Linked DNA regions of Mytilus edulis. The protein of the gene in region 2 purifies or fractionates together with the protein of the main gene of each other region. This does not show direct contact. Links are inferred from orthologs where the notes say so. Each region holds a gene or a part of one and is shown on either strand. Other genes may lie near its edges.

What was found. The genes of interacting proteins can lie anywhere in the genome.
Region 1: the proteins of pre-mRNA-splicing factor ATP-dependent RNA helicase PRP16-like (region 2) and nudC domain-containing protein 1-like purify together in Homo sapiens (co-immunoprecipitation; 3 studies listed by BioGRID and IntAct, with this or other methods). This does not show direct contact. The link is inferred for Mytilus edulis from reciprocal best matches to the Homo sapiens genes DHX38 and NUDCD1.

What each region holds. Positions count from the first base shown.
Region 1 is NC_092348.1:48,749,415-48,756,371, reverse strand, and holds the start of nudC domain-containing protein 1-like, read right to left. Parts: upstream 3,020-6,957; 5' UTR 2,942-3,019; coding exon 2,830-2,941; intron 1,285-2,829; coding exon 1,133-1,284; intron 1-1,132.
Region 2 is NC_092348.1:89,210,556-89,217,607, reverse strand, and holds the start of pre-mRNA-splicing factor ATP-dependent RNA helicase PRP16-like, read right to left. Parts: upstream 3,133-7,052; 5' UTR 2,843-3,132; coding exon 2,514-2,842; intron 1-2,513. Other genes in the region: leucine-rich repeat-containing protein 69-like, read left to right, coding at 3,381-3,557, 5,276-5,402, 5,852-5,924. UniProt on the Homo sapiens protein: Probable ATP-binding RNA helicase. Involved in pre-mRNA splicing as component of the spliceosome.

The DNA.
Region 1 (6,957 bases), about 40 Mb from region 2:
TATTACCATTACAATGAAGCTTTTACTATAAACATAATGTTATATTCAATCATGAAGGTTGTTACTTACTGAAATGTTTAAACCCATAGCATTTGTTTGCACCTGTTAGTAGTCAGAACCTGATGTTCAATGACTGTCGTTTGTTGATATGGTTCATATAAAGTGCTTTTTGTTTCTTGTTTTTATATAGATTAGACTGTTGGTTTTCCCACTTGAACGATTTTACGCTACTCATTTTTGGGCCCTTTATAGCTTGCTTCGACCTATAATCATAATGGTTAACTTTTACAAATTGTGACTTGGATGCCTGGATGGAGAGTTGTCTCATTGGCACTCATACCACATCTTATATCTATGTATCAGGGTTAATTTAAATTACCATAAACCTTCCTAGCAAATTAATAACACCTTCATGTACCACATTAATAATAAGTATGAAGAAGATACATGTATAATGAGTTATTCTTTATTGATAGATTGTTTGCTGATTACTTTATGTAACATAACTGCAAGAAGATTATATCACTATATGGTCACATTTACAATTATTCATTTGACAGAATACTGAATAAGTGCATAAACTTTTCAATATTGGCTTGGTTACATTAAAACATTCTTTTTTCCTGATTGATTCTGAGAGGGGCTTCATCAGTTCCCTTCATCATGTTTATGTCCATACTATAAGAGGTTCAAATTTGCATTAAATAGTGAAAGGTCCAGGACCATTTGAAAGGTCCTCCATAAGAAATTCAGTGTTCCTGTATATCAGAGTAAAGAATTGTAGGTCCTTGACTTGTTATTCAAAAATGAAAAGTCCCCTTCTAGAAAAGACAGGTCTCCAACATTCGACCAACACTAATTTGAACCCCTGATTACATATGTATATATTTAAATCGAAAATTATTGTGTGTATCTATCATCATGATTATAATTGTTATTTTTGAAGAATTGACAAAAATGTTAGATAAGTTATTATGATTTCAAGAAAGCACACTTTCTTTATACTTTCATGGTCCCTTTGAGCCAGATCAAAGTCTCACATGTTCTTATAAACTCCTAAACATTACCCTCAGACTTCTAATTAAAATAATTTGTAATAAAAAAGTTAAAACAAATGTAACCATTTACTTACTGCAATGAAGGCTTTGTTGATGCGCCATAGCTGATCTATATAATATACTGTCTGCTGATTCCAAGGATCTAAAGCTAAATGATTGTGTTGTCCAAGGATCTTAGCATGATGGTAGGAATACTGACCGTCTGTAAGGTCCACCTTCTCTATACCTGGAAGAATTGTTACAAATAATCATTACTCTAATTCTTTTATTTATATCACTCAGAATTTAGTTGAAGAATGCAATAAATCTTATTTTACAGAGAACTGGATGAAACAAAAAAAGACAAGTCTTTTTATTCTTACAGTTAATTTTTACTAGCAGATGCCCACGAAATCATGGTACAAATGAACAAGTGTTAAAAATAGTTTTCACAGCAGTATGTTGACTGAGCATGTGGGAAAAAGTTCAGTCAAGAATCAATAACGGTCTTTGAATTTGGATAAAAATTGGAGTGTTCTGTGGAAAAAAGATTGTGTCAAAGAGCATAATTTGGAAAGTACAAAACAATTCATTTATACGTCTTATCACTTTGTATGGTTTCAGAGAAGTTATGGCTCAATGAAAACAGTCTCTTCCTTTAGTAGTATTTTCAGATTGAACTTGTTTATGTATGCTGACGTCAAGCAACAATTCCATTTTCATTATGATGTCAATCTTTCAGTTTCTTAACCCTCTTGGTGCCGGAGTGACACATGTGTCCACACCAACTGTGCTGGAGGGACACATGTGTCCATGTTTTAATTTATGCAAGCTTCTCATCATTGCTGTACCTCTTTCAAAATAAAAAAACCAAAATTAAAAAGTGTAATATGATTCTACAATGGCTCTAAAATGTAACTGTCATTACAGCATGATGTCATATACAGAATGACGTCATTGTTTGGCATGTCACGTCACAAACGTCGAGCGGTCGTATTTTCCGTCAAATATGAAATGAAACCCTGAAAAACAGCTGGCAACAAGAGGGTTAAAAAATAAATTGTCATGTCAAATTTTACAGGAATGCATGTCGTTTCATACTTGATCAATTTGTAACTAAGTTGATTTGTAAATGAGACAAATTGATTACGGCAATATAAATATTCTCTCAATTTTTCAACAAACTTCAACATATTTTGTTCAAAATACTTAAAATTATATGACTTTTGCATGAAGGAAAAAAAAATGCCCATCAAAAACCAAAAAAGATTTTATCTTTCTTTAACACAAAATGCATTTAACTTTTATATATCTAGTGGGTGCCAGGCATTAAAACTTTTCCAACTTCACAGGTAGGTCTGTACTCAGAGTAATTTTTGGCATGTAAATACAGCCATATTTGTCCGTTTGTTATGATGAACCTTAATTAGAAAAAAATAAAAATCAAGGCGAATGGACCCTGGGCGAACAGGTATAAGGGCGAACAGTAGTCAAAATAATTATGACGTCTGTCAAGGCTAGCGCTGATTTATTTTTTTTCTGGGACTGGGATGTTTCAGGGCGAACGAACCCAGATTCGAACTCACCTACCCCCTTTTCTACTGGGTTGGGATTAGTATAGTAGTATACAAATCCTTGGCGGCTTAAAATGGTATTTCTAATTTTGCTGTGGCGCTTTTCAAAGAGGCTACGTGACGTACGTCGTATATAAGCTTGCTCAGCATGAGCAGGGCTACAAAGTACACTTCACCGATCAAAATGTACTATACAAAAAAATCATCAAGCAATTTACCAATTCCAAATTGAAGGCTGTATGTGGGCAGACTGTCTAACGACAGTTTGTATCCGTCAAATGACGAGTCTAAGAGTTCCCGTTTTATTTGCAAATCAAACTTTTCTGCCATGGCTTATCTGGTATTGAATTTCGCCTTTTTTATACCCATAATAGATAGATAACATTTTTGGGAAACCAGTTTGTACCTAAAACCCATTACATGATCCCGACTACTGCATGTTTTTTTTAATTTCTAACTGTTTTAATTTGCTATGCGTCGGTAAAAAATTGTTATAACAATATCACGAAGAAAATGGTAAAAATGAACATAATATTGCAGTAGTGTCAATATCAAGATGTCGATTTATTTGGAAAGACTAGTATCAAGGAATTGTATATTAAATATACAATTCCTTGCTAGTATTCAGTGCAGCCAGAAACAGGAACTCGTCTTAGAAAAAAATCTTAGTATATACCTTTATATAACACATATAGGAATATTTTTTTCTAACACGAGTGCCTGTGCAGATCTCATCGAAATTTCTATACCGTATTAAACAGTGTGGCATTTTTGCTCTAGCCAAATTTTCAATAAATACTCATTGGATTGCACAACTCCTCCAAAAACGGAAACTCTTTGATAACTCCATCGGATATATCCCTGGAGGTTCTACCTCCTTTTGCGAGTGTTGGTTTTTACTTGCCTTTTTTTATACTCAAGACATATTTAAAATTGATTCAGAGTTTCACTGAATTTTACATCTTTTTCCGTACGCATGTAGGCAAAATTGAGTAAAGTAAAGACCTCCTTTGACAGCCGTAGATCCCACTCTTCTGTCTTCATCTTTTTGCGTAAGCAGTCAACGGAAATATTAGGCACAGTATAAGTTCGAGTTCAGAATGAGTTCTTGTTCATCATTATTGATCCTTCGAAGCACAAGGCCTGATTTATGCTGAAATAATAAACGAAAGACTATTAATATGACAGACAGCAACCAACAACAACTGCAGAGGAACAGACACAAATGTAAAATGTTATAACAATACATTCTATTTAGTTATTTTCTGATAATTAAAAAAAAACGTCAATGTTTCATCGAAAGATTTTACCACAATATTTAAAACGCGGCGAATTCGAAATATCAAAAAGTAAAACATGGATCGTGTCTAATTTTACGGGCTCTACACACTACATATAAACAACATCGTTGTAATAATCAGAATATGTGATATCAAGTGACCTACCGAATTAGACTATTTGCCGGATTTCACGGTTATAACATGAGCAACAAGACGGGTGCCACATGTGGAGCAGGATCTGCTTACCCTCCTGGAGCACATTAGATCATTTCCAGTTTTTGGTTGGATTCGTGTTGCTTATTCTTTAGTTTCATATCTTGTGTCATATGTACTATTGTTTGTCTGTTTGTCTTTTTCTTCATTTTTAGCCATGGCGTTGTCGGTTTATTTCCGATTTATGAGTTTGACTGTCCCTCTTTTTGAATAAAGTTTTAACATGTACAGCAAAAAAGAAGGAAAAAGGAACAACGACAGATATAAAAAGATGTGGTATGGATGCCAATGAGACACTTGTCCATCCAATGATTATGTTTTGTATATACATGTATTTTATACTGAATTACGGAATTACGGAAACAACAAATCTTCTTCATTTATTATATTTTTCAAAAAGGAAAAACACATAAATTTCCAATCGCATACTATATGCTTAATTAAACCTGTATTCTTTGCAACACCAGTCCCATGTTGTAAATCGTGTGTTTTGTTAGGTGATTCTGTTTTTCTGAAAGAACGAATTACGAAAACACAATTATACCAAAAATGTAATGTCTGTTTTTGTTGGAATATCCCTTTAATATCTTTCGTCTCTCTTTTCCAAAAATAGAAAAACATGTATTTTGGCTGTACATAAACCATTATTTTTTTCTCCAGTCAACCACATCTACCTACATTAACATCCCATGTTCACTACAAACTATTCCTTCGCTTTTTATGCCCCACCTACGATAGTAGAGGGGCATTATGTTTTCTGGTCTGTGCGTCCGTTCGTCCGTCCGTCCGTCCGTTCGTCCGTCCGTTCGTTCGTTCGTTCGTTCGTTCGTTCGTTCGTTCGTCCGTCCGTTCGTTCGTTCGTCCGTCTGTCCCGCTTCAGGTTAAAGTTTTTGGTCGAGGTAGTTTTTGATGAAGTTGAAGTCCAATCGACTTCAAACTTGGTACACATGTTCCCTATGATATGATCATTCTAATTTTAATGCCAAATTAGAGATTTTACCCCAATTTCACGGTCCACTGAACATAGAAAATGATAGTGCGAGTGGGGCATTCGTGTACTGAGGACACATTCTTGTTTTATTTATTATTTTTCCGTCCTTTCTATTTCTGTTGTATCGTTTGCTGACCAATATTGTTGTTTTTTCTAAACTGTTCGATATGTATGCATGGTAATAAAACATCAGTCACATTTATGAATTTGTGCCTTTTTTTTTTTTACAAAATTATCATATGATATTGTTTTTCATTTTTTGCAGAGTATTCGATTTCTTCTTTTAAAGGTGAATTGGGGGGGGGGGGGGGGGGATAAAGTTTTAATCATGCTTCTTATCCAAAATGTAATAAAAAGTTTGGTGACCAGACTTTTTTCTCGCTACACTACATGAATTTACACGTGAATTTAATACTACTCTCAAAATTTACACATTTAATGAAATATCTAGACCAATTGTTATCTGTCACTTAAAAATCTAAAAGAAAGGAAGACGTCCTCAATCACCAGCCGACCGTAACGGCAAGGGCTGTACAGCCAGTCAACATCTACCTGTATAAATATTTGTGTGATGAGAAATGTTTTTGAGAAACACTTTTTTAAAGAATAATACTCTGGTACAAGAAACCGAAGGTGTCATAACAGCTGAATATATATGTCATTATACTTCAAAAACATTGACACGTAAGGACGCCACCGGGTGCGGGAGTTTCTGGCTACATTGAAGACCCATTGGTGGCCTTCGGCTGTTGTCTGCTCTATGGCCGGGATGTTGTCGCTTTGACACATTCCCCATTTCCTTTCTCAATTTTATTTGCCCCAACCACTTCTTGCCATGTTTGGCCGAGAAGCAGCACATACCAATTTCAAGTCGTTAGTTTCTGTATACTGTCCCCATATTTGACCAGGCCGAGGTTTGAACCCATATTATCCAGCACTTGAGTCGATCACACAGCGAGCGATATGAAAAAAAACTGTTCTTGCTAGTAACCATATATTAACCACCAAGGCGGTCTGAAAAAATCCTGTTCTTGCTTGTAACCATATATACACCACCGATGCGGTCTGACAAAACCCAATTCTGTTCTTGTTAATAACCAAATATATATATATCTAAAAAAGAGTAGATGTGGTATGATTGCCAATGAGACAACTCTCCACAAGAGACCAAAATGACACAGTAAACTATAGTTCACAGTACGGCCCTCAACAATGAGCAAAGCATATACTGTATAGTCTGCTATAAAAGGCCAAAAAATGCATCCACCAAGGCGGTCTGAAAAACAGAATTTTCTTGCTAGTAACGTTTACCATATAAACAACAAAAAACAATCCTGCTCTTGCTAGTAACCATATTATATAAAAAGTCGATGGGAACATCATCAAATTCTTCAAAGAAGAACCAAGTTATCATCCAGTGTCCAGTTGTTTACAAGTGTTGTTAGGGTAACGCTGTTGTTGACAGAATTGTTACGATGAATTTAACAACTCTCTTGGAGATTATATTAGCCTCCTAAACACAAGTTTTAACATAAACTTTAACAATTGAAAAACTTCAAAGTAAAATATAACGAATTTGAAGAAGGAAAATAATGTATTTTAAACATACAATTAACATATATGGTGATAATTCATATTTAAGATGTACCCTATCAAATGACATGAAATTATAGCAATAAAATACCATAAACAAGATTTGAATTGCAGCAGGCCAAGTTTACGAGCTTATTCCATCTACGCCAGTGACTTACAACCTTACGACTTTTCACAGTGCGCCAGAGGGTTGCATCCTGTTCTGCAAATCACATGTTATATGTCATTTGGTAAGGCACATCATAAATATAATTATCATCGTATATATG
Region 2 (7,052 bases):
GATTGTGGCCAAGTTTGGTTAAATTTGGCCCTGTAGTTTCAGAGGAGAAGATTTTTGTAAAAGATACAAAAATTTATGAAAAATTGGTAAAAAAATGACTATAAAGGGCAATAACTCCTTAAGGGGTCAACTGACCATTTTGGTCATGTTTGACTTATTTGTAGATCGTACTTTGCTGAACATTAATGCTGTTTACAGTTTATCTCTATCTATAATAGTATTCAAGATAATAACCAAAAACGGCAAAATTTCTTTGAAAATTACCAATTGGGGGGCAGCAACCCAACAACCGGTTGTCTGATTCATCTGAGAATTTCAGGGCAGATAGATATTGACTTAATAAACAATTTAACCCTGTCAGATTTGCTCTAAATGCTTTTGTTTCAGAGTTATAAGCCAAAATCTACATTTTACCCCTATGTTCTATTTTTAGCCATGGTGGCCATCTTGGTTGGTTGGCTAGGTCACCGCACACATTTTTTAAACTAAATACCCCAATGATGATTGTGGCCAAGTTTGGTTAAATTTGGCCCTGTAGTTTCAGAGGAGAAGATTTTTGTAAAAGATACAAAAATTTATGAAAAATTGGTAAAAAAATGACTATAAAGGGCAATAACTCCTTAAGGGGTCAACTGACCATTTTGGTCATGTTGACTTATTTGTAGATCGTACTTTGCTGAACATTAATGCTGTTTACAGTTTATCTCTATCTATAATAGTATTCAAGATAATAACCAAAAACGGCAAAATTTCTTTGAAAATTACCAATTGGGGGGCAGCAACCCAACAACCGGTTGTCTGATTCATCTGAAAATTTCAGAGCAGATAGATCTTCACTTGATAAACAATTTAACCCCCATGTCAGATTTGCTCTAAATGCTTTGGTTTCAGAGTTATAAGCCAAAATCTACATTTTACCCCTATGTTCTATTTTTAGACATGGGGGCCATCTTGGTTGGTTGGCCGGGTCACGGGACACAATTTTTAAACTAGATACCCCAATGATGATTGTGGCCAAGTTTGGTTAAATTTGCCCAGTAGTTTCAGAGGAGAAGATTTTTGTAAAAGTTAACGACGACGGACGACGTCGACTACGGTTGACGAACGCCAGGTTAGCTAAAAAAAAAGATAAGGTATGATTGCTAATCAGACAACTCTCTGCAAGAGACCAAATGACACAGAAATTAACAACTGTAGGTCACCAAGTATTGTTTTTTCTACATATGGTCAAATATGATTTTGTAAATCTTATGGTCAATAAATTCATTTCTACTTTTAAAATAATTTTGTTAAAAAAATTACTGGTATGGTAATTATTATAATGCAACAGAAAATTGTAGGGAAACAAGGTCTTGGTCCCGAACTGTCTATTAATCATGTCTCATACAGTGCCAAACTGTCTATTAAAATTGGGGCTGAATGTCTTAATTCCAAGCTGGTGACGAACTGTCTTGTAAAGTTACCTCATCTACAAAGCGCATACTGATTTGGTCCATTGGATCAGAATAGTATGCCTTTTACCTGTCAAATAGTACCTGACAAAGAACCAGTTTTTATTGTCGATTGCAAGTAAACATGTCAAATTAATACATGTACTTGTTTTTATCTTCTTTTTTTTTTGTTTTTTGTTTACAACTACTTTGTTCATCAAAGTTTGATTAAATTGATTTTTTCTGCAAAATAATTTTACTTGTCGACAAGGTTGATATAGCTTTAACTTGACCGACCTTTTTTTACTCTGGTAACAGACAATAGGGCAAGCGTTATTGTCAAGACCTGAACTATAAATAACAATCATGACAATTTGTATTTTTTTAAATATGTGAGTGCTAGCTATATAGATAGTTTTATTCTTACAAATTCAAAAATTCTTCAGACTTTATTTCACGTCTTGGTTATCAATATTTGGGCAAAGAATTTAGGGTTAATATACACAACCAGAATAACTAAAGGAAAACTTTGAAAACTATCAGAAAAGTGTGCATTTCCCTGCCTTTAAAAAATACAATTTCAAACTATCAAAATAATAAAGAATAGATAACTTGTTTTATGCATATACATGATATATAAGCATGTTTTAAATATGATGATACAGGATAAATATAAAAGTTGTAAAGAAATCTTGCTAAAGGATTAGCTGATGGTGACTGAGTGACCCTGTCTCCTTTATGAGATTACCCTGCCTTATACTATCATCCTCTATTATCTTATCCGATTTTAATGTGTGTAAATTAAACCCACCTTTCTTTACAACTTTTATGCTTTGACAATTTATTATCTTAAATTTAACTACACTTAAACACTGCCTGAAGATTGCATTTCTTTGTTTACAATCCAATGTTTATATGCATGAATATGATGATACAGGATAAATATAAAAGTCGTAAAGAAATCTTGCTAAAGGATTAGCTGATGGTGACTGAGTGACCCTGTCTCCTTTATGAGATTACCCTGCCTTATACTATCATCCTCTATTATCTTATTCGATTTTGATGTGTGTAAATTAAACCCACCTTTCTTTACGACTTTTATGCTTTGACAATTTATTATCTTCTTCATCACTACTTGAGTCACTACTATCACTTTCATCTTTGCTGTCTGTATATGATGTCACCTTTGATCTTTTTGTTGTATTTTCACTTTTGATATCTAATTTCCTTTTTTCTGCTGCCAATTTATCAAGTCCCAATAGCGATACCTTGGGAAGTGATGGTTTCTTGAATTGAAAGTCTCCATGTTCTGATTTCTTTTTCATTATAACAAGTCCACCCTTTTCTTTGCCCAATGAACCCTCCAATCTGTGTAATTCAGGATCGTCATCTGGATCTACGAAACTTGTCATTGTGAAATTAAGTTTTTTTACACCTGCACTGTAGAAGTAAGAGGCATGATTTACAATTACTTGTACAAATCAAACATCATCAGATCATGTCCCATGATGTGGTTTTGCTAAATATTTTAGATGTTTTATGACTTGACACGTGTTTATCCTTATTACACTGGGGAAGTATTAATTGGAAATATATCTCATAGGCATATTTAGCAGGTTTTATCTAACAACACCAACTTTGAAACATAAATAGTAAATCATGCAAAAAACGTTTTGAAACTTTAACCGGAAACACTCTCCAATTTAAGAAACCACGAAAATGATAAGGTGCGATCGAAAAAATTTCTGTAAATATCATAAATATTCAATGTTTATTATTTTTTTCCTTTATCGTAGAATTATTGAGAGTATTCATATCAGAATATTTTAAAGCATATACCTACATAGTCTTTCAATATCTTAAAAATGGAATAAAGAAACATTTATTTTATATTTACAAATAGATGTTTTTCGAACACACCTTAAAAGTTAGCAACAAGAAAGCGTCAATATGGCGGACACCTTGCTAGTCCGTGCATTGAAAGGGAAACCAAAAACGTTGAATTTGTGTAATAAGAAACTTGACAAGGTTCCAAGGGCCATTGGAAAATTAGACTGTGTTGTACACTTGCAGTTGAGAGGGAATAAATTGAAGGATTTACCTATAGAACTTAGCCATTTGTTTCAGGTTGATATTTCCCATAAAATATAATTTTAAATTCTGTAAACAAATTTGTTATCAGAGTTAATGTTTCTTATTCAGGTGTAACAACTCAGAAAAGAAATTAGCATATCCATACTGAGTATTAATGTAAATGAAAAATACCGGCTCAGTTTGTCGAGAATATGAGGTATCAGGTCCGTTCGCGCCCAATATACTTTCGCACCCTACACGTTCGCACTCTACACGTTCGCGCCCAATTTTAATTCAAATTCCAGTTGAATAATTGGAAAATCATGATTGTTGTTTTTAATTGCTTTCGTGTAAATACTGAATGTATTTATAGCTTGGTATGAGTAAACATTTGAAGATTTTAAATGAAAAACACAAAAGATAATTGTTTTTAACAGCTTGGTCCCTTTGATCTGAAACAATGAAACAATAAAATATAGCAATACACTATTATAACCAAAACATGATAAAATTTATTCAACACACAAAAAATAAAAACGTAGTCAGAATCTCACTTCATTTTGAAACAAGTCATTGAATAAAGTTATAGCAATACATAAACCAAAACATGATTAAGAGTTATTCAACACAAAATAAAACGTTGACAGAATCCCACTTTATATAGAAAGGAATATTTTTTTTTTAACAATACACTATCCAAAACATTTCAACACAAAAGAAAAATGCTGTCTCACTTTATTCTGAGACAATGAAAACAATTATACTTATAAGAATAATACTTGCCAAAACTTGATTACAAAGTTATTAAACACAAAACCAATTAAAATTGGGCGTGAACATGTAGGGTGCGAACGGTTTTTGGGTGGAAACATGTAGGGTGCGAAAGTGAAAGGGGGCGAACATGAGTGGGTGCGAACGTGAATGGGCGCGAACGGACCCGGATTCAGAATATGATAACACATGTGCACTCGTGCAGCATTTATCTGTTCAGCCACCATAGTGTTAATTAACAGCTACTTATTTATTGTGTGGCATCGCAGTATTAACATTTGAGGTCAAGTTCCTATTAATATAATTGGTCAATTTCATGGTGAATTGTAGTATTTGTAATATGTTTGTAAGATTCATCAAATTAATAAACGGGGTTGGAGTTATTGTCAATGTGACAATGACCCCAACCTGTTCCTTTCTGTGCTGAGATTAAGATGGAATGGCAGACTAGTTTACTCCCAGTAATTCAAAGAATAACGGGAGAGTATTTACTCCTTTTTTGACAAGATTTTATGAAAATGACAACTTGGACCTTTAATTTGAATCTGATTAAATTCAATTTTTATGACTAAGTAAAAAAAAATTTATTCTATAAGTCAAAAAAATAGGTAACACTCAAAATGTAAAAGTGGAAAATTAAGATGCTATTTATCTCCCCTGAAACAGGTACATTTGTATGTTATGGCCTTACAGTTTATCTTTTGTATTATGTTTTAGGTATCAGATACTAATTTGTAATACAAATGTACCATCTATGTACCAATACAATGCATCAGATAATTCCCTTTCCTTAATTAGAATATTATAATATGATAGGGAACCGAGGTTTTACAAAGACACATCTTGAGCTGTTTTTAATGAATAAGCTATACAGGCTGACCAAAGTTCAGTAGACATTAACCAATCTGTAACATCATATAGCATATGTATTGTGACAAGACCTGTTCTTTCTTATTTTAATAAGGCCACATGTAATAACAAAATATCTTTTTGTTTTATAGTTACAGATACTGAACTGTGGAAACAATGAACTTGAAGACTTACCAGAAGTTTTGGAGTATCTCACTATGTTGGAGAAATTACATCTGTTTAACAATAACCTAAAGAATCTGAACCCCAAAGTCCTAAGTATGTATTGTTCATCTTTTTAAAGTGTTATTTACTGATTATCAAGTTTTATATGATATAATTGATATGTAATGTAAGTCTTAACAATACTGTTGTTGAAGAGTGCCACTGTACATGTTTAGTAAATAAGGGTAAGATTGTTGCAAATGCATTTTTACAGAATATTGCAGCAAAAGAGTTAGTTCTAGTGTTTACATGATTGTTTAACTTATTATATTGTAATGTTTTTTTAATGTGTTAAACCTGCATTAGATTGTACAGAATTTGTCTGAACAGTTTCGAAAATTATGCAATAAATTTCTTCTATTAACTTTCGATACTTTGTTACTCATGTTAGCATTTTTACATATATATGTGTATATTACGTGAAGTAGCTTATGGTACATGTTGTGTATAATTTATTCAGTTAATGTATATATTTTTGATATTGATTGTTAGTTTATTTTCAGCACATCTGAGAAACTTGACATTCTTGAATATAAATAATAATCAACTCAAGACTTTTCCACCAGAAATATGCAGGTAGGTAAAAAAGATTAATCTATTGTTAATAGTTAAAAGAGTGTACACACTAAAATTCCATTTTTGCATAAATAAAATTTAATAGTTAAATTGGTGGGGAAGGGGGAATGTTTCTGACATTCACTTATTGCACTTAGAAGGTTTAAAACATATGGTATTACAATAATGTTAATATTCACAGAGATTTCAATGTACCATGTTGACTTATTTGTAGATAAAAATCTTGTCTTGAACTAACATTTATTGGGATGCCATTAATTCAAATTTCAGTTTTGTTAAGCTTCATACAAAAGAAAAGACCAAAAAGTTATAAGATTGTACTATGGGCTTGCATGTTAATTCAGTTGGTTAAACGTGTGACTTTTAATACAATAATATGTCCGTCATGATTCCCTTACAATTTAATTGTTTTGGTTTTATTTAAATGGACACTTTTGATGAACAGTTTCATTGCCATTATCAAAAATCCAAAATGCACCTGACCAAATCAAACTTTCTTAAAAACTGAGAAGTTTTGCATTACCTCCCCTTATTTTACTGCAAAATTAACAATAAAGCTCTTATTTCCACTTGTACTTCGAAATTTTATACAATTAGCTCTGAAGCAATGAATCGTGTAAGTTAAACGGCCTGTACTAGTCCATTTGAAAAGATATGAATTGAATTTTTGCCAAAATAGTTAGACAAAATTGAATTGTCAAAGAAATTTTAAGGTAAGAAAATGTTTAAGATGACAAATTTTGATGAGAGAAGAATCAGCTTCATTTTCAAGACATCTTGTCTACTCTATACTATATATTTATCAACCCCTGCTTTAATTATTGTACCCCACTTTGAAAAAGTCAGGGTATACTGTTTTACCTCTGTCTGTCCGTATGTCCCATGAATATTTTTCGTGGCATCTTTATCAGGAACTACAATACCATGGTTTCTGAAATTTGGTTTCAGGGTTTATTTAAGTCAGCTATACCATGTGATGTGTTTTCAGATTCATCACTCAACAACTTCCTGTTTACCAAATAAAGGCAACAGTAGTATACCGCTGTTCAAAACTCATAAATCCATGGACAAAAAACAAAATCGGGATAACAAACTAAAACCGAGGGAAACGCATTAAATATAAAAGGA